Oreochromis niloticus: one gene and its partner. The protein of the gene in region 1 interacts with the protein of each later gene in a biochemical or structural test. Links are inferred from orthologs where the notes say so. Each region holds a gene or a part of one and is shown on either strand. Other genes may lie near its edges.

Region 1 (8,703 bases):
TTTTTGGTTTCTTTTTTCAAAGCTTGTCAGTTGATTCCAAGTCAGTTTGCAAACAGAGGGACTGAAATCTTAAATTTCATTTTTACTTTACAATAACAGTTCAAATTTACCAGCGGTCTTCACAGCCTCACAGTGACACCATTTTAGTGCTTATATCATCTTATTTAGTTTTATTTTAGTAACACTTTCATGTGCGTTGAGTAACTCAGAACTCGAATTATTGAACTTTTCCTTGTTTATCTTACATCATCTTGCTGTTGTGTATGAAGCCATATCAGGTGTCAGGGTAAAATGTGGCCAAGCCCAGAGACAGTGATGCTCTGCAGTGGAGTGTTGAGTTACAGCAGGAGTGCAGCATCCACATTGCACAGGGAAACGGCTATCCTGGTTTTGAGTCTTTTTTTGGATCATCGATAGGATATGATGTTTACGTGGAAGACAGAGAAATCGAGGTATTCATACCCCCAAAGGTATCCTGGGTAATTCTAAAGCGGCTAACCCAACACTATATCCATTAAATGAACTTATCCGACTTTCCAGACTTTTCCCACTGTATGCTCTGGGAAACCAGAGTTGTGTAATCTCTGTACTACAGACTTGAATCGCCCTGCTTTGCCTTTTGCTTCTTCACATCTAAATTTCACACTTCCACTACAGAAAGACATAACTGATTTTCTTCATCACTCCAAAAGTGACAATTTGGCCTCTGGCAGTGTTTTTTTCCTTCTTTGGCTGTCGTTGAAGGGCATGTGAGTACAGGAAACTTCAAAAAGCGGTCTATAATAACAACTGGGGCAGTCCCTGTGAGCTGTACAGACACCACTCAGAGCAGGGAGAGACAGATGACAGGTGAATGATGACACGCATCAGCCATTCGGTGACTAATTTTCTGTGCTTACTCAGACGTAATAATCTGCCGCTGTATGCTCAGCTGATGTGGTCCATGTGTCTGCTCCTGCTGTCTGCTTTTTGGTATGAAAGAGAGGCAGAGCAAGAGTGAGACAGGAGAGCAGTCCAAGGCTACAGATTTAATCTGGCTGCTGTGGTCATGTGATTAATTGTGGCCAGGGGCCAGTGGATAGTGTAATTTATGGCGGTGGGGGGGGGATCAACACATTTGGATGGTTGCTGCTCCTGAGGGAAATCTCACTCTTAACCAAACCAGCATTCTTTTCAATCCCTCTTTAACCCACCATAACATCACATCTGTGGCAGCTGGGTTTGGGGACAGTTAGCCTTGTTTTGTTTTTTTGTCTGTGGCTATATAAGGAGGTGTAGTTTTATGTTTGAGGCCATAAAATGAGTGCAGAAGAAGCTAAGTGAGGCCCAGAGAATCTATTTTAAACTTTTGGGGCTAATGGAGCCAGTAAATTGCGTTTAATACCAGAGATTAAAGGGAATATCGACAGCCTGCTGAGGACCGTGCGTCAGTTTTCGCTGTCCTTTTTGGCTTAAAACCATATCACTGCTGTGGTGACCTCACCCTCCTTCAGACCACTGGCACGCTGGTGTGTGTATGTGTGTACATGTTTATTTAATCCTCTTCCCAACTCCAAGAACTGTAAATAAACATCAGAGGAGTTTCATGAGAGGCTGTGTTCAGTTTTTTGGGGTGAATTTTCTGTTGTTTTCAGAGCTGCCAATATCAAGCAGTGCTGATAACAGCAGTTTCCTCCTGACCTTCCCCACCAGCTGCTCACCAGCTTGCTCCATCCAAAATTTACCTGCCTTTGCATTGGCTTGCTGGTTCCATTGGCTTGCTTTGCATTGGCTTGCTGGTCAAAGATAGAGTTTATATCTACATTTGCTTTTTTCTGGTGCATGGGCCGTCTCAAGGGGACTATGGTTTATACTCAGTCCTTCTCCCATCTTTCATTCTGTTTATTAGTCTGAACAAATATGTAAATACAGGGATAGGGACATGCTGTTTCCCCTCGTGATGCAGCTTCATTATAAAATATGCAGGATGCAATCCAGCTTCATTGCCAAATTCTTTAATGGTAAGTGGTCCTGCCCAAGGGGTTTATGCAGAAGGAGTCTGTGAACTCTCTTTATGGTTACATCATAATCTAAATTATTCGACAGCCCTGGGAAATGCATTTCACTTGTTTGACAGATGTCACGCACACGGGGAGTAACTCCTCCTTAGGTCATGAGCGCACAGCCTCCTCTGCGTCCCCTCGTCTTTCAGGTCTCACTAAAGACTTGTATTTACTGGGCATTTAAATTTGACACCGAATCAATCACTGAATTGATTATCATCTGTAGACACTCTGTGAACTATCAGCACCTAAAGGGTAAGTGTTGGGTCTGTTCCCACAAACCCCGCTAATTCTAGAGACTTATTCATCATGAATGAAAACAAGACAGTCAGCGATCGATCGATTACTTGCGCAAGGGAGGCCTCGTCTATGTCCAGCATGGAAGTGACCCCGATGAGGGCCTCCTCTCGCTGGCTTTTATTGACAAACTTCAAACAATAGTTTACAAAACACCTCCCCTCGCAACCCCCTTTGGTTACAAAGACAAGGCACTGTATGTATATGCATGCAGGTGTGTGTGTGTGTGTGTGTGTCCTCCTGCTGACCAAAGGGTCGTAAACGCAGGAAGCTTACATCAAAGGAAGTAGATCTTCCAGATAGGATGTATCTGCTATAAAACCTCCCCCAACACAAAGTGGTTAGAGGTGCTCAGGATCAAAGGAATAGCTTTGATAATACTGCTTGAACTAAGACTGTACAAATTTAAGAAACACAATGGCAACATTCAACAATTAGACCTAACAGTAAGTAAGTGTAACCTCAGCCTTGCATTTAGTATGGATGGCATTAGGAGGTATAGCATGTATGTTAAAAACAAAACACATTAGTAATCCATCATAATATCTACATTATAATGTTAACTATAATATTCTTTAATCTAGTTATTGGAAAATGTAAAAGAACAATGTATTTATGTGTGTATAATATGCACCATTAGCAAGTATATTAAAATAAATTAAGAGGAGATATATATTTTTTACTTATTACAGTAATGTTGATTGTCCATTTTATTCAGTTGGAGCTGTGTGGTGGTTTAAGATGACCCAAGATTTTAATGCACAGCTCATGCTTCCAAAAAAGACTGGAAACGGAGTAAAATGTCTAAAAAAAATAGCACAATGCAACAGTCTGCAAACCTTTTAAGCTCTATATTTAACTGAAAATATTACAAATACAACATGTTGTTGCTTATTTTGAATTTATTGCCAGTAATATGTTTCAAAAATGGTGGTACAGTGTTTTCTTTCACTGTTTTATCACCTCTTCTGTGAAAAAACAAAAAAAGAACTTGGGAAGTGGAGAGAATAATACTGAAGTATTTAAAGCAAAATGTTTTCCTATTCCAGGCGGACTTACGAGTTCGGCTTTAATAGTGTAGAGCAGGGATGTCAAACACGTTACCACATATGGCCCCCTTTGAGCTTACGAGGGCGGGACCAGTGAAACACCCCTTTTTCTCAGAGTTACCAACTTTACACATTCGATCCCTGAGGTATTTTAATGAAAGAAAAAGACGTACAATTTCAATAGCACATCCCATTTTTTCTACATGATAAAGAAAAATCTGTCAGCATGACTCATTGGGCTTAAATGTGTAAAATGACAGAAAAAGTTCTGGTAGCTCATTGTGTAGACGGCCCTCTAATAATATTTTTTTTAATGTAAACCCATATAAAAAGCACAAATTTCTGTAGCAGACAGTGAAAAACAAACTTTTAGTCATTTAATTGTTTATCTATTACTTAATTAATTTGGTGTAATATGAATGGCTCTGGGACTGTGGGGGTGTGTCCATAATGTATGCTCTCCTTCACATTTTCGAGAGCCACCCAGGGACCCAAATTGGTGTCTTTGGTGGGCCAGTTTTGGCCCCTGGGCCTTATGGTTGACAGCCCTAGTCTAAAGCATCATTTTTTGTATTTTTAATTGCACTGAATAATTTTTACAATTGGTCAACAGACATGATGTTTTAATACATGCAGAGCGTGGTCATTAGTAAACGACATCATTAGTAAATGTTGCGCCACAACTTGTATTAAGCTTTCATGGTGCCTTCACAGATTTGCAACTTACCTCTGCTTCATGGTCAGATGTGCCTCATAAAATGATGGATGCTGGCTTTTGTACTCATTGGTCTCTTTGTCTTTAGTCTGGAAAATATGAGCTCAATGGTTTAAAATAAATTAAAAAACAACATATTTTGACTCCTGCAATTGGAGGACAGTTTTTTTCCACTTTGTGTGAAGCTCAGAAAAGGCAGCTGGTTTCCTGTATCATCTGCATTTATGTTTTTAGTCTTTATATAGGCACAGGAATACAGGAATAGTTCTCCTTTGTAATACATGGGGTTTTTTCATTCTTCATACTTAAAGGTCCAGGTTACCAAATCTGGTCACCTACTTGCCTCCTGATTATTTAATTCCATATGAGCTGATTTGTTCCTCTCCACCTCCACTTTATGATATTTAAATCCACCCCATGCTTTAATTCAGTTTAATGGACCAATCTCGCAGAAAACAAGGTCGAAAACACACCTTCTCAGTTTTACAATCCTGGGATTTCTCTAAGCATCAGTTAGACGACGTCTCCCCCCCCCTCCACACACACACACACACGCACGCACACTAAAGCCATTACATGGCTTCCTCTCTCCTCCTCCCTCCCTCCTCCTGTGTCACTCTCCTGCTCTCTCCCTCTCTGGCTGAACACACGCGCACTCTCTTTCCTACCTCGCAGACGCTTGGGTGCCGTCGCCGCTGCATCCTACCGCTCACTGTTGAACCGCCTCTTTCCCTCGACTCTTTTTCTCCACACAAACAAACCGGCATTTCACGGTTTGGCGGCCGGGAAAGTGTCCGCCATACGAGGCAAACCACAACAATGACCCGGTCCTGACTAAAATTGAATAGATTAGCCAATCTATTCTGAGCTCTAATGAGATTAGAGGGTCAGCGCGGACATGGGTCGCGGCGGCGTGGCACCTTTCCTTGAACTCCTCCGGGAACGTCCTCCCTGTCAGCGGTGCTTCCAGCGTGGAAATGGCGTTTTTGACACCGAGGATGCCGCGGATGACGCGAGGGGACAATAACAGACATTTGAATGCACGCTCACCTGTGCCGCTTTGGTGGCGCGCGGATTCCTAGAAGTAGCAGCACCAGCAGCAGTAGTTGTAGTTGTAGTAAAAGTAGCAGCAGCAGAAGCGGCAGCAGGAGTTGCAGAAGGAGAAGATGAAGTACCAGAAATATATAACGGTGATGCAGATGGCCATGGGAGTGACAGCCTCCAACAAAGACTGCCTCCCCGCAAAGAGACAGCTGTGGTGAGTATGGACAAAGAGGAGGAGGTGCGCGCTTTGGTTCGGAGCGTGTGTTGGTGCGTGTGGAGCGTAGGGGAAAGCAGGTTTGAAATGAACCTCTGGGCTTTGTTGTCTTGTTTGAGAAGCTCCAGTCGCGCTTTTCTGCTATGTCTGCTGTGAAGTTGAAGCTCAGCAGCTGCTGGCGGAAGCGACTGCCTCCATCCGCCTCTGTGACGCTCTGCCTTCAACAACAGTTTGATGTGCGCGCCGGTGACATCGACACCCAGCAGGTATTTAGGCGGGGAGGAGGAGGAGAGGGGTGAACAGTGCGCAATCGCCCCTTCTCCGTGTTCCTCCTGGTGGTCTCTGAGTGTTATGATCCGCTGGTGAGGTTTTCACGAAACAGAGCAGGTGGATTTACAGCAACAGTGAAACGACGCGGACACACACCGCTTTCTTATTTTACCCGCACGCACTCGGCGATTTCAGTTTTCCGAGCAGCTCTCTGGTCTCGCGTCTATTTCTGCGATCACGTGTAGTAGTAAAAAAAACCCAAAAAACGCTCATCTCTTATTTAGCAGCTTCTTGCCACCTGCATTTGTGTAGGAGCGGTGCTTGGTGTTTAACTCTCATTGGTTGATCACGTCTCCGTGCGTTTCCATTTAAATATGTCCACCTAGTTTAATACACGTCCACGTTTGATATCATTTATCCGTCTAAAAATGTTCTCTGGTGTTTCCGGATGAATCAGCAAAACTTAACAAGCAAAAGACTTTTTTAAAATTTATTTTAGAAAGCTGTCTCTACATCTCACCTCTGTTGCAATTAATTCCCCATCGCTTTCCTTCTCTCCAAAAGTTCCCAGGATGCTTTAATACTGTAAGATTTCTTTTTTGAAACAAAACGAAACAAAATCTCTCTTCTCTGCTTCTAGCTTTCACAGCTACATGACAAGATGACAGCAAACTAAGATATTTTGAAGAAATCATGTCAACATTTATAAACTCCAGATATTTTTTTTACATCACAAAACTATTAAAATTTACCTGAACAAAAGTTTGATAATGCTGCACTGAGCTTCTCTTCAAAGATGATTTAAATATGATACCAATGACAAACTGACCTATTTCTTTATGCACTCGATGAATTGATTAGTTGGTGTCAGGGCGCAAGATGCTACTGCCTTAACCTTATTTGGCTTCTGACAACCTGTCAGAGGCTGTTATACTGTGATACACTGTGAATGTGTTTGCACTATAGGGCATAATAAAGGAAACTGTGAAGAACGCTTCTTTTACTAATTGAAATAAGGAGCATTATAAAGAAGAAAAGGAACAAAAAAAGAAAACGTGACACAGCAGAGTGGTGTTCAGTCTAATTATAGGATCTTATCACAATGAGCAGATTCAGTCTTTCTTCTACTGTAATCCACGCAGATAACATTAAGCACCCAGCACAATCCTTACAGATTTGCACTGCTTTACACTGAGAAGACAAACTCTGGTTCCTTGCGTAGGATGTGCAAGGCTTTGAGGGGGTCCATCCTACATGTGGGAGCAAATGGGTCCATTACTTTGAATCAGAAATGATCTCACATGGGAGAAAGGATAGGTTTGCTCCTCTCCAACCACTGTCAAACATGTAGGACAGCGCACAGCGGTGACTTGGTTTTGACACTTCTCCCTTAAGAGAGGCGCAGTGGTATGTCCGGGGCCATCACATCACGGTGGGGGAAGGGACACGGCCATTAAAAGTGGATTACTGTATCGCCTCCGACAGCCACTTTAACGGAGCGTAGCTGAGCCAGCGTGTAGCTGCAGTGTGTGTTTCATGGAGTCACCCTTGGATTCTCTTGCCTGCCATTTCCGTCTTTATTCAGTGAAGTCAGAGTCCAGAGTCAGTAGGCTCACGTGCACACAAGTAACTCGCTTGCTGTGAAGACTGAGCTAATGCTTAAAAATGTAAGGTGTGACTTTAGGTTGGAATACCAAAGCAATGACCCAAGTTTAGGTGATCACTGTGCATCATAGAAGTTTAATCCTGATGTGTTTCAACCGGTGAGCTAATAGCAGTTGACGAGTTGTAGCTTCAACTTCAATCTGTTTTATATAACTGCTTTCATATTTAGAAGTAGTTAGTTTCTTAATTTCAGTCCTCCAGAGGGAAAAATGCATTGCTTTACATTCACTTTACTCTTTGACTCGTGCAACACAAGAAAGGAATTTAAACACCCGAAGAAGCCAGGCTGAACAGTTTGTATCTTCATAACTAAATGAAATGTCAGCGTCTTCTGAAAGGTTGAGTAAGTGGTCTGGTTTCCTTCCATTCATACCACAAGGTTGAGATTGCACAACGCAGAAATAAGCTGCTGCTGGAAGACCTAGCTCATACATGATTTATATCAGACTCACTTGCACTCAGGTAATGGGAGATGTTGTTCCTTAACGAGCGTAAGAACAGGACTGGCTGTGATGTCGCGACCAGAGACAACGAAAATGTCTGAAATTCAGCGAGCTGCAGCGATAACGTCCCAAATAACTGCTGCCAAGATCAAGTAGGCGTGTAGAGCGATTAACTAATCTCAGCATCGAGGTTGGACAGCGACTGCCTCCAGTACTGTCGTGGTTGCGACAGTACTGCAACTGGTTGGAGTAATTTTGACTGTCGTATAATTATTTTGTACAATATTGAGATCACAAATATTTGTCAGGATTCTTCACTGATTTTAGTGGCAAAAATTGTTTTATGTAAGCAGAACTTGCAAAGATTTGTGTACATCTTCACGTATTATGAGATTATTAGAATATTAAAGGTAGGGTCTTTCACTCCATTCCTTGTACCTGCATGATGGATAATATTAATAGTAGCTGTGAGATCTCTTTATTTTACTCCTGCGACAGGTTTTGTCTCTTTGGAAAAAAAGTATGTGAGGGGATAACACGTCTTTTGCACGGTGTGACCCTTGTTTTTATCAATAGGTGAGTTGATGATTAATGTTAGCATTGCACAGTTTCTCTTTGACTTCATGCATGAATTATACTGCAGTTTTTGTTGTTTTATTTCAGATAGCTGAAGACGCTTTGTTGCTTTGCAGTGCAGACACACACAACTCTTTTTGCAGATTTTCTTCACTTGCACTAAATCAAAAGTATTTCCAAACAACAGACAATGATCTGTTGTGAGAAATTAGATTTTTGTCCCAAACATTTGAATTTGTTGTATCTGTTTTTGAATGCAGAGAACAGTTGGTTACTTTGTAACCTTGGTTCTCTGAGTGAGAGACTAGCTTCTGGCCGCTCTGGGACACGTTCCGATCAAACCATCACCGGTGCCACTTCTGGACAGCTGTGAGTGGAGAGATAGTTT
Region 2 (9,380 bases), on another chromosome or scaffold:
ATAAAGACCTACAATACACAGATCTGAGATAAAGGTGAGCAGATTTCTTAACCTGTCGTCTCATTTGTTTAATCCCTTTCAACCACTAAATCTGTTCAGGGATGTTGTAGTGGGTGCTAAATTTGATTTCAGCATGCAGAGGTGAGAGGTAGGTCACAGGTCTATCAAAGAAATGATACATAAAAAGAAAAGACTCTTCCCTGGGGAATATTTTGGGCTTAAGAGGTTGGATTTAAACCCTGGACATATTCACTTAACACCATGCTAGCTGACAAATAAGGTATCTATATCACTGTATATGTTTATTTTACAGGGAATTTCCTTCTGGAGATGAAGGTCTAATAAATTTTATACAGTTATGTAATCTTTTTAAAGTACTGCAGATTTGTTTATTTGACTTTTCATTCAATGTAATTGTTTTTAAGTATATTTTGCGCTTCAAAAACCTGTCTTAAATGTCTCAGGTAATGCACATAATATTTTTGAACATGTCAACACTGCCATGTAATAAATATGGTGGCTTGCAGTCATCATATTATTCATTTGTTACTCAAAACTTTACTTGTTTCAGTCCTTACTTATGGACACAAATATGCCTTTTTTTCCCCCCTTCCTTACCTCTGCTTCTCCAGGGGCACGCTGGGGTCCATTTTGGTCGCCTCCCCATCCAGTGGGGGAATGGGAGAGGTAGGAGATGGAGGGGAAAGTTTGGTAGGGCTGGACGAGGGTGAGAGCTTGAGGGTGGGAAAGGAGGAAGATGGCTGTGTGAGAGGGGCGAGTTTAAGAATAGGAGAAGATGGAAAGGAAGAGGAGGAGGAAGATGAAGGAGAAGAGGAGACAAGTGTTTTATGGCTCCAGTTCCTCTGCCTCAGGGTCTGCTGCTGCTGTTGCTGCTGCTGCTGCTGGCGACCAGGGGTTGAATTGTTCTCTTTACTGAGAGAACAATCCACCGCTTCAAACTGAGCTAAAAGAAGCAGGAGAGACAATATCAACCTTTCATAATAAAGTTCTATCAAAGCATGCCAGTGATACCAAAGTAAACATATCTCTGGAAATTAATTCAGAAGGATTGTTTTGTTTCCTCAATAAAGTAAACACAAAATTGCTGTTATGTGTGTGCTGTACAAACAAAATCCTCGTTATCCTTCTTCCACACCCTAAACCCTAAACCCCCACCCTTCCCATGATCCCTCCCTCCTTTTCTCTACCTGACAGAGCTCTAACAATGTCCTCCTTTCTCCACTCCCACGGCAGTTCGTACTCTCCAGCTGGACGGACATCAGACTCCGGTCGTGTGACAGGGATCCACACGCCCTCACTGTCGCCTTCCAGTCCTCCTTCGTAGGGTATGTCATAGATGTTTGGGGGTGCAGGCATTACCTCTTCTGCCTTCCCCTCGCTTTGGCCTCGATCCAACAGGACACATACTTTCAAGAGGTCTTTGGAGCCCCGTCTACGAACCTCTACAGCAGAATGGATATGTGATTAGCTAACTGTATATAAGACTTGAACAGCTAAAGGCACATAATTGGCCTTCCCTTCAATATTACACCCCCACCTTAGTGTTTAAAGCACATTTCCCTTACAATATGTGTTCAGAAAAACAACTAAATTACAGTAGAAAAAAATTAAAAATGTACTTTTACTGAAATAATTTACGTGCCATTTCAAACATAACCACTATAGTCCAAATCAGATATTTTGGACAAAATACAGAATAAAACTGACGTTTAGAAACATCCTTAGTTTATTACAAGCTTTCACTCAAGTGCACAAATTAGGAGTTTACACCACACAGTCTGTAAAGCAACATTGTGCTGATTACATATATAGACTCCACTGTTCTGTCCTTCATTTGCTCGTTTCTTTTAAATAAATCAAGTATTGTTTGAATATTGTCTTTTTTTAACATTTTCGGGGAATTTTAATTGTTATGTTCCTTTTTGTTTTTTCATTTGGTGCCCGGCAGGTAGCCTGTGTGTCTACACTATTGTGTGACCAAACAATGGATTTACAGGAAGAAAAGGTCAACACAGCCGTTGATTGGCTCACTAACCGGACCGCTTCCTGACTGTTGGGAAGTGATTGGGTGAGACCGGGGGGAAACCTGTAGGTTTTTAGGGAGGGGTGAGAGGGGGGCTTTCGATTCTTGTCACATGCAGGGGACCATAAAGTATCTGGTGTCTGTCTCTGTGTGTTTGTGTATGTGTGGAAGGGGAGGCAGGAGGGCATTAGGGCCAATGTCCTATCGAGAGAATGGGGCAAAGGAAACAGAGGCAGGAGACAGGAAGCTGGAAGAGGAAGCTGCACCCATTGTCCCTGCACAACACTGTTACTATAGCCACCGCCAGCGGGGAGGGAAGTCAGTAGAGAGACTGAGGATCTAGCTTGGCTCTCAGTCCCTTTAAAATGATAAGTTAACAAGAATGTGATGCAGTCTAAGTGCTGATAAACTTAAATAAGATGTATAATTAGTGTTCCTTTACGAGCTCACAATACACTTGGCTTATCAAGCACGATATACAAAGTGAAGCAAAAGGTTAAAAAATTGGAATTAAGTTCTCAGAAAAATAAAAGATAGTCAACTTAAAGAAAAAAATACAAGGTGAAGATGTAGGAAGGATGTTGCTAGTGTTATTGTTGTGTTTCTATAAGCGATTCTGCCATTCTGTTTAAAGATGTGCTGTAGGACCAAGTTCACGACTGAATTCTTCTGCTATATTCACAAAAATATGTCGTTCACATTTGCTCAGCTGCTGAGAAAACAGTCCAAAACTCCGGAAAGCCAAGAAGCACCTTCATAATAAAACTTTGGCTGCTGAGATACGAGATCATGTGACCCTGACCTCACCTGTGATGATGACCTGGGCGTCATAAGGCTCCATGTACCCATCATTCACTCCTGCTCTCTCAGCTTCTCTCTGCTCCTTTGTTTTCTCCGCATCAAAAGGATCTGCATAGTCCTCCAGGATAATCAGCTGTTGAAAAGGGAAAAGCACAATGCCGGCCTGCTACCTATTCAAAAGTCACAGAGACAACAAGCAGTGTGCATGTGTGTGTGTGTGTCTGTGCGTGTGTGTATGTGTGTGGTGTCCATGACTGAGTGACAAGTAATGGAGGGACAAGCGGAAATACTTGTGCAAAGAGGTCAGCGCATTGTGTTTGCCTGTGTGATCTGAAACAATGAAGTGAAACTGTATTGTATTCTTTTGAGAACGATGGAAACTGAATACAGGGTTATGATCTGAGACATGGAGGGAAAACACAAAGGAAAGCACTGACCTTAAGCCCTGTACTATAATGATGTTTTAATGAACTAATTCATAAATAAATAGCTGCTGAAATATGAAGACATGTTATATGGGCATGTTATATAATTTCTATAAGTTACTCACCGTTGTTTTAATGTCAGATCGTCCTTTCTCGTTCTCGGGTAGCTTCTGTTCACATATCCCATTGAGTTTGGGGGTCTTTTCTTGTTTGTCCACTTTGATCATCCTGCTGATGTACGCTTGAGCCACACTAGAGGTCCTGACCTGGCGGTTCTCATCCGATGACGCGGTGTCGCTCTTGGTGTTCTTGCGACCTTTTCCAGCCGTGAGACTGTCCCAGACTGTTCCACCAGAACCAGCATTGTTACGACCCAGTTCTGTAGCCGAATTCTTCCTATTTCTCCCTGCCAACAAACCCCCCACTCCCCCATCTCTGCGCTGATTTCCTTTCAAACTGTCTCGTGAAAATGAAGGTTTGGGTCGAGTTTGTGGACCAGATTCGGAGGCTGAGCGCACTCTTTCATTTCCGTTCTTCAGGTTGATGGGGAAATCTCTGAACCATTTTGCCATGGTTGTTAAGTTGATGACACTTCTTACTGATTTTAAAAGTTACTAAAAGTTACTGGATTTTTTCCCACCTCCTTGCATTAGCCTCCCCCTAAAAGTTACTTTTAGCCTTCCTCAACAGCTCCAACTTTACGCACACTCACTTTGTTCACACTTCGACTGAAGTAACTTTGGTATGCAAGGATATCTGACTAATCACTTTAAGCAGATCCCACTTTATGATTCTATGCTGATTCCTAGCTCCTGAGACTCTCTCACAACTTCTGGTGCGTCTTGGAGATCATTAGCCAGCTGCTCTGTGTTGCTGTCACCCTGCACCTGCAGTAACAACTATCCCTGCAGTTTGAAAAGTAACTTTTGCAGAGCATAAACTCGAAAGAATTGGAAGTTTTTCTTTGAACCCAGTAAAGATCCCATTCCCGGAGCGTGAGATAGTGCGTCCAGTCTGTCGACCAGGCGAAGTGATGAGAGGAGTGAAAGGAGAGGAAAGTTGGAGTGAGCAGACTGGGGGATGTCGCTGGTTTCTGGGGAGGAGCTGCGCGCACGGGGCGGAGTGGCAGTTTTACTCAACAAGGAAGATTGTAAATCTCATGAAAACTTTTTATTTCCAGAACCCAAACTCTAAAACTTTTCTTTTTATTCTTCAACACACAATAAGTTTAATAACTGTGTTCAGCTCAGCTCTACACACATAACATTGCAACAGCAAAAGATAACAAAGGACAAAAAAGTTATATTTATTTATATGGGTTTTTTTTTTACACTCAGGGATGTTCCCAGGATTTCTTAAATCTTACACGGGTAAGCTATTACAATGTCAAAAATTGTGCTTAAATTGGAAAAGTGAAGTTTAAATATGTCTGTAGGTTCTCAGTTATCCAGTAGACTGGACTTCAGTGGGTTCATGAAGATGTTTCCCCTCTTGTGCACGAGACTTCTTCAGTTCTGCCCTTTCGATGAGAGGCAAAACATGCTCATAAATCTAAAGAAGTCTCGTTGCCTTCTTTTCAAGCTCTCAATTTTCAATTTAATTTTGTTGTATTCTCAACAATAATCAACTGAAGGTGATTTATATTTACATAAAGACTCAACAATATTAGTAAGAAAAATCCCAAGAATCACATGACCCCTTATGAGCAAGCACTTGGTGACAGTGGGAAGGGAAAAGAAATCACAATTTTGGTTGGAAGACACCAACCGATGCCATCTACAATCTTGTTGCTATGATAGCAAAGTGCTACAGCCCAGAGAACCAGCCGGTGTACGGCTGCGCCATCTACTGGTTAACAGGAGAAATAAACGTTGTGAGGCACCTGCGTCTATCAGTAGTCCTTGAAAAGTTTTGTTTATCTAGGTTACGCGGGTCATTATTTGGAAAAAAAAAAAATACAAGTTCCATTTTCAGCAAAAAAAAGGTGAAAAAATGGTCCAGAAACAAGGAATGAGTGGCATGGAGGTTTCACCAATTACAAACCTAGACAGTATCAATAGCCCCGCCCAAGCCAGCGAAACGGCCCAATCACAGCGCCGTACTTGGCGGGGCTGGGCGGAACGTTTACATCCCTGACAAAAAGGTAACAGGTTGCATTCCCAGCAGCAGCATAATGAACTTATTGCTGTGATAATTTCCGTAGGAGTTAGGTTTTTCTGTTCACGTTTCCGTGTGGGCTTTAATGGATGTCAGTCAATATATCTGAATTATTATCGGCATACAGCAGGCGAGAGGATACGAGAGGAGCAGAAGAATAAGTTCAGAAAAAAAGAGGTAAGTTCACGCTGGGTTTGGGACCTCTCATAGCCAGACAACTAAACCAGACAGGCGCCGCTCCTCGGACAGTTACTTTGACGCTTTGTGGGTTTCTGGTGCTGCCCAGCGGCACTTATTTTTGATTTATGGCAGTTATGTAATAGTTTATTTGGTAGTGTCACTGTGAGCCAGTGTAGCTGAGCAGCTAACGATGGTTCGAGAGAAACAGCGCTACCAGCTAACGTTACTCCAAGATAACTTTTGGATTTGCCCGTTAAGTGAAGGGAAGTAAATGACAAATAAAACAGAATAATACGTCTCTTTAAGACAAATGTAAGTATAGCGAAGGTAGGCTTATTGTCAGAGGTTTAACTTTTAAAACCACAAAGTTGTTTAGAAATGAGCCAGGTGTTTCCGTTTCTGTGCACACCTGTGTACACCTGTGCGACCAGGAGATCTGTCATTGGAACAACGGTACAGGAGAAACGTTTTTAGCACATAGCTCAAAAGGATGAATGCAACTGTAGGGAAACCATTAAAGGATTGAACCCGGGTAAACAATGGATAAACATGCATTTCAAAGTACACCTGCTTTTGTTCTCTTCACAGCTCATGTGAAACTGATGACACGGGCAAGAAGGAACAGCAGATTATAGTTTTGAGGTGGGGAAAGGCTCATGGATTGGGTCGTGAATTTCACTAATTATAGCATTGAGCCTGCAAAGCTTCGGGTACAGTTTCAGAACTCGTAATGCGGTGGGAATGCCTCACATTGGACTAACAGATAAAAGACCTGTGCCGTGTTACACGTACAAGCAGCTGATACACTCAAGTGTGCAGATAAAACGCCATAAAGTGAGTCTCCCACACTGACACACTTTCAGCCCCTGTATGTGTAAAGGACAGAGAGACCAGTGTCAGGAATTTGGAAAAGGGAGGGGTGTATTTATGTGCTCCTACTTTTGTGTCATTTTTTTTGTACATTGTTATGCCAATGAACTCCTTTGCACTGAGAAGAGGAATAAATGGGTGTTTGTTTGAGGGTGAAAGAGGATGAGGGCTTGGTGTTATGTCAAGAATGTAATGGAGAGGGAGTATACTCTGAGGACTGAGTACCTGACTCTCCTTTAAAAGCAGAAGAGAGAGTACAGCACTTGTATCTCTGTTGCTTACATGATGACATTTGTGATTTGCAGGACAGTCCTGTAAAACTTTATGATTCACTTGGAAGAAAAGGAGGATTAAATGTTTTTTACAGCATCCATATGCCAGCTTTATAGCATGCTGTAAACTAGCTCTCAAATAGTCCAACTAGCTATGAGTTGATAACATTTTGATTTATTTGTTTTGTTGGGGTTTTTTTAAGGGCAAATATTTTCAGATGTGGTGTTTTGAGGCTTCCTTGGTTTAGTGTCTGGCTGTTTTCCATCGCTTTCAAGCTCATTCAGCACACAGGCGTTTACATTTTCATTCTTAAGACGTTTATACAGTGCTTACCAAATTTATTAGACCCCCGCGCATTGTAGGTTTTATGGCACATCTGCCCTAAATTAACAGTATCGGTAACCAAAATCATTTTTATGTTTCTGTTCTTTAAAAGTTCTTTAATCAAAATTATGTTTTGGATGCAAAAATCTTAATTATTGCTTTATTTTTTTATTTTATTTTTATTTTTTACAAAAGCAGTAAAGCACATTATTATTTTTCTGATTAAGATGTGTAATTAGAAAAACCGTTTCTGCCAAGTCCGGTTTTGTGGCTTTATGAGGACAGAAGCTCCGCCCACTTGCTGTTCAAACCTTCTGTTTGCTTTTGGTAGCCAGTAAAAAGAAAGTTTAAAGGGAGAGGAGCTCAATGAATTGTTTCAGGTGTTAATTAATTGAGGAGTCAAACCAAAGACCAGTATAGGATAAACAAGGTTTGTTTTGAACTGTGACTCATGCAAAGCTGTTCTCGTATAGTTTGAGAACGAGAGAAGACTGGCTTTACTTAAAAACATAGCACATGCTTACGTACTTGTAGTGCTTACGTTTTGGCATGAAGGGTTGTTTTTATACCCTAAGGATATGTTTTTGGCACATGTTGCCATTACCCTTGTCTGCCATCTCCAGCGGTGTCATTTTTGGGCCAGTCTAGAGATGATGCGATCACATTAGCCATGTGGACTGAGTCAGCAGAGGCATGTGATTCCACACGTTGCCGTTGTTTCATTTTTCTCCTCACCCATTCTGATGTCCTCATTCTTTTTTCCTTTTCCTTTCCACCTTAGGTCTTAAAACGAAAGCAGCTTCAATTCAATTTACTTTTTGAGAATTGAGTTTGAGGCCACAGGCACAGGCTCGTCAGCATAACTGCAGGGTAGCACGACTCTCATGAAATTACAAAAGCTCCAGATATAGCTGTGCAAGCAAAGCTGGTCTGTTATTAAAGTTGCAGTACTCATAGTTATGATTCTGGGTCTCTAGAGTGAACACTGTTTAGTCGCTTATTGGCTAATGGATTGCTTTCTGTATTTAAAAAAAACAAATTCATGGGTTTTACAGACCTGAAACAATCACCTTAGGTGTGACATGTTAGTTTCACTCACGAGTTTAAGATCAAAGGAGAGCTTGTTTGCCATCCTACTCTCAGTGTAGAAAGCATGTTTATTTAGAGTGCTGTGGAGGAAAAAACACTTTGGAGTGAAGCCTAAAAGCAAAATTTAAGCATTGAAAATGACTTCTTATAATCAGATGGACAGTGTGACAGAAGAGAAAGGGGCAGGAGCAGCAGGGGTAGTTAAAGCATTCCAGAATTGCTGCCCTCATTTTCCGCCCCACATCAGCTGGACAATGGGATGAGTTCTCCTCCAACCACGTCCCGCTGTCGGAGCTGGAAGTGCCTTCCTCCTCTGTGACAAATAAACAGATATTCTCAGACAGACATCTTTCTGCTTTACATTTTGGTTTCTTTACACCAGTTTGGCTCACTTGTTGCTTTACGGGTCACATCAGTTTAGATGAGCATGTCCCATTAAATCGCAGATTATTAGTTAGTGCACTTTTCTTGCGTGTCTGTGCTACAATCGTCAGTGGACGACACTTTTGGTTGACCTTGGTTTACAAGAGTGGGCTGAAATCTTTATGCTCGGCTTCACAAACTTGTTGTGACACACGGCGCTTCTTCTGTGGTTCCCAAAGGGTGAAAAAAATCGACCAGCTGCACACAGATACCTTCGAAGGTCATTCTCAGTGACGTCACTCCATTCATTGCTGGGCCAGTCATTACCTTCTTATCTTGCTCCGAAACTGTTTCATAGGACCACTCCTGCTTGCCTCGCTTCTATCTCAGAGTCGCTTGGCTTGTTTGTCTTGTCTTACAGATTAAAAAAAGTTAGTAGAGAAATTTTTAAAAAGTGTTGCATTAATTTATGGAAGCATGTGTCTGTGGAAATAGAGTTATCTATTCAATGGCTACTTTTGTAGCCAGTCCTTTGTAAGGACTGGAGGAGAGGGAGGGTTGTTTCGGAGGAACAGCTTGACTTTGGATTTTATCACACACAGCACTGATAAGAGGAGAAAAGTGGAGTGTGGTTTTTTTTTCCTCTCTCTCTCTCTCACTTCACCCTCCCTCGCTGTTTCCCAGCCCACTTTCTGTCTGTCACCTCCAAAGGCTGCAGACAGGAAATGGAAGGTGCAGAGGTTGGGGGATAGTTTTGTAATAGTTTGGTTCATTCAACTCTCTGTCAAACTATTGTGCAGTCCTGGGGGATGGGGTTTACTGTGTGACCTAAAACAAGTTATTATCAGCCAGAG

The links.
Region 2: the proteins of tjp1a (region 1) and cgna form a complex in vitro, tested with the Homo sapiens proteins (2 studies listed by BioGRID and IntAct, with this or other methods). The link is inferred for Oreochromis niloticus from reciprocal best matches to the Homo sapiens genes TJP1 and CGN.

The regions. Positions count from the first base shown.
Region 1 is NC_031965.2:19,077,489-19,086,191, reverse strand, and holds the start of tjp1a (tight junction protein ZO-1), read left to right. Parts: upstream 1-5,104; 5' UTR 5,105-5,269; coding exon 5,270-5,361; intron 5,362-5,580; exon of another isoform or gene 5,581-5,595; coding exon of another isoform or gene 5,596-5,627; intron 5,628-8,703. UniProt on the Homo sapiens protein: TJP1, TJP2, and TJP3 are closely related scaffolding proteins that link tight junction (TJ) transmembrane proteins such as claudins, junctional adhesion molecules, and occludin to the actin cytoskeleton.
Region 2 is NC_031976.2:20,778,689-20,788,068, reverse strand, and holds the start of cgna (cingulin), read left to right. Parts: upstream 1-5,390; 5' UTR 5,391-5,604; intron 5,605-9,380. Other genes in the region: she (SH2 domain-containing adapter protein E), read right to left, coding at 619-964, 1,209-1,463, 2,852-2,978, 3,396-3,842. UniProt on the Homo sapiens protein: Probably plays a role in the formation and regulation of the tight junction (TJ) paracellular permeability barrier.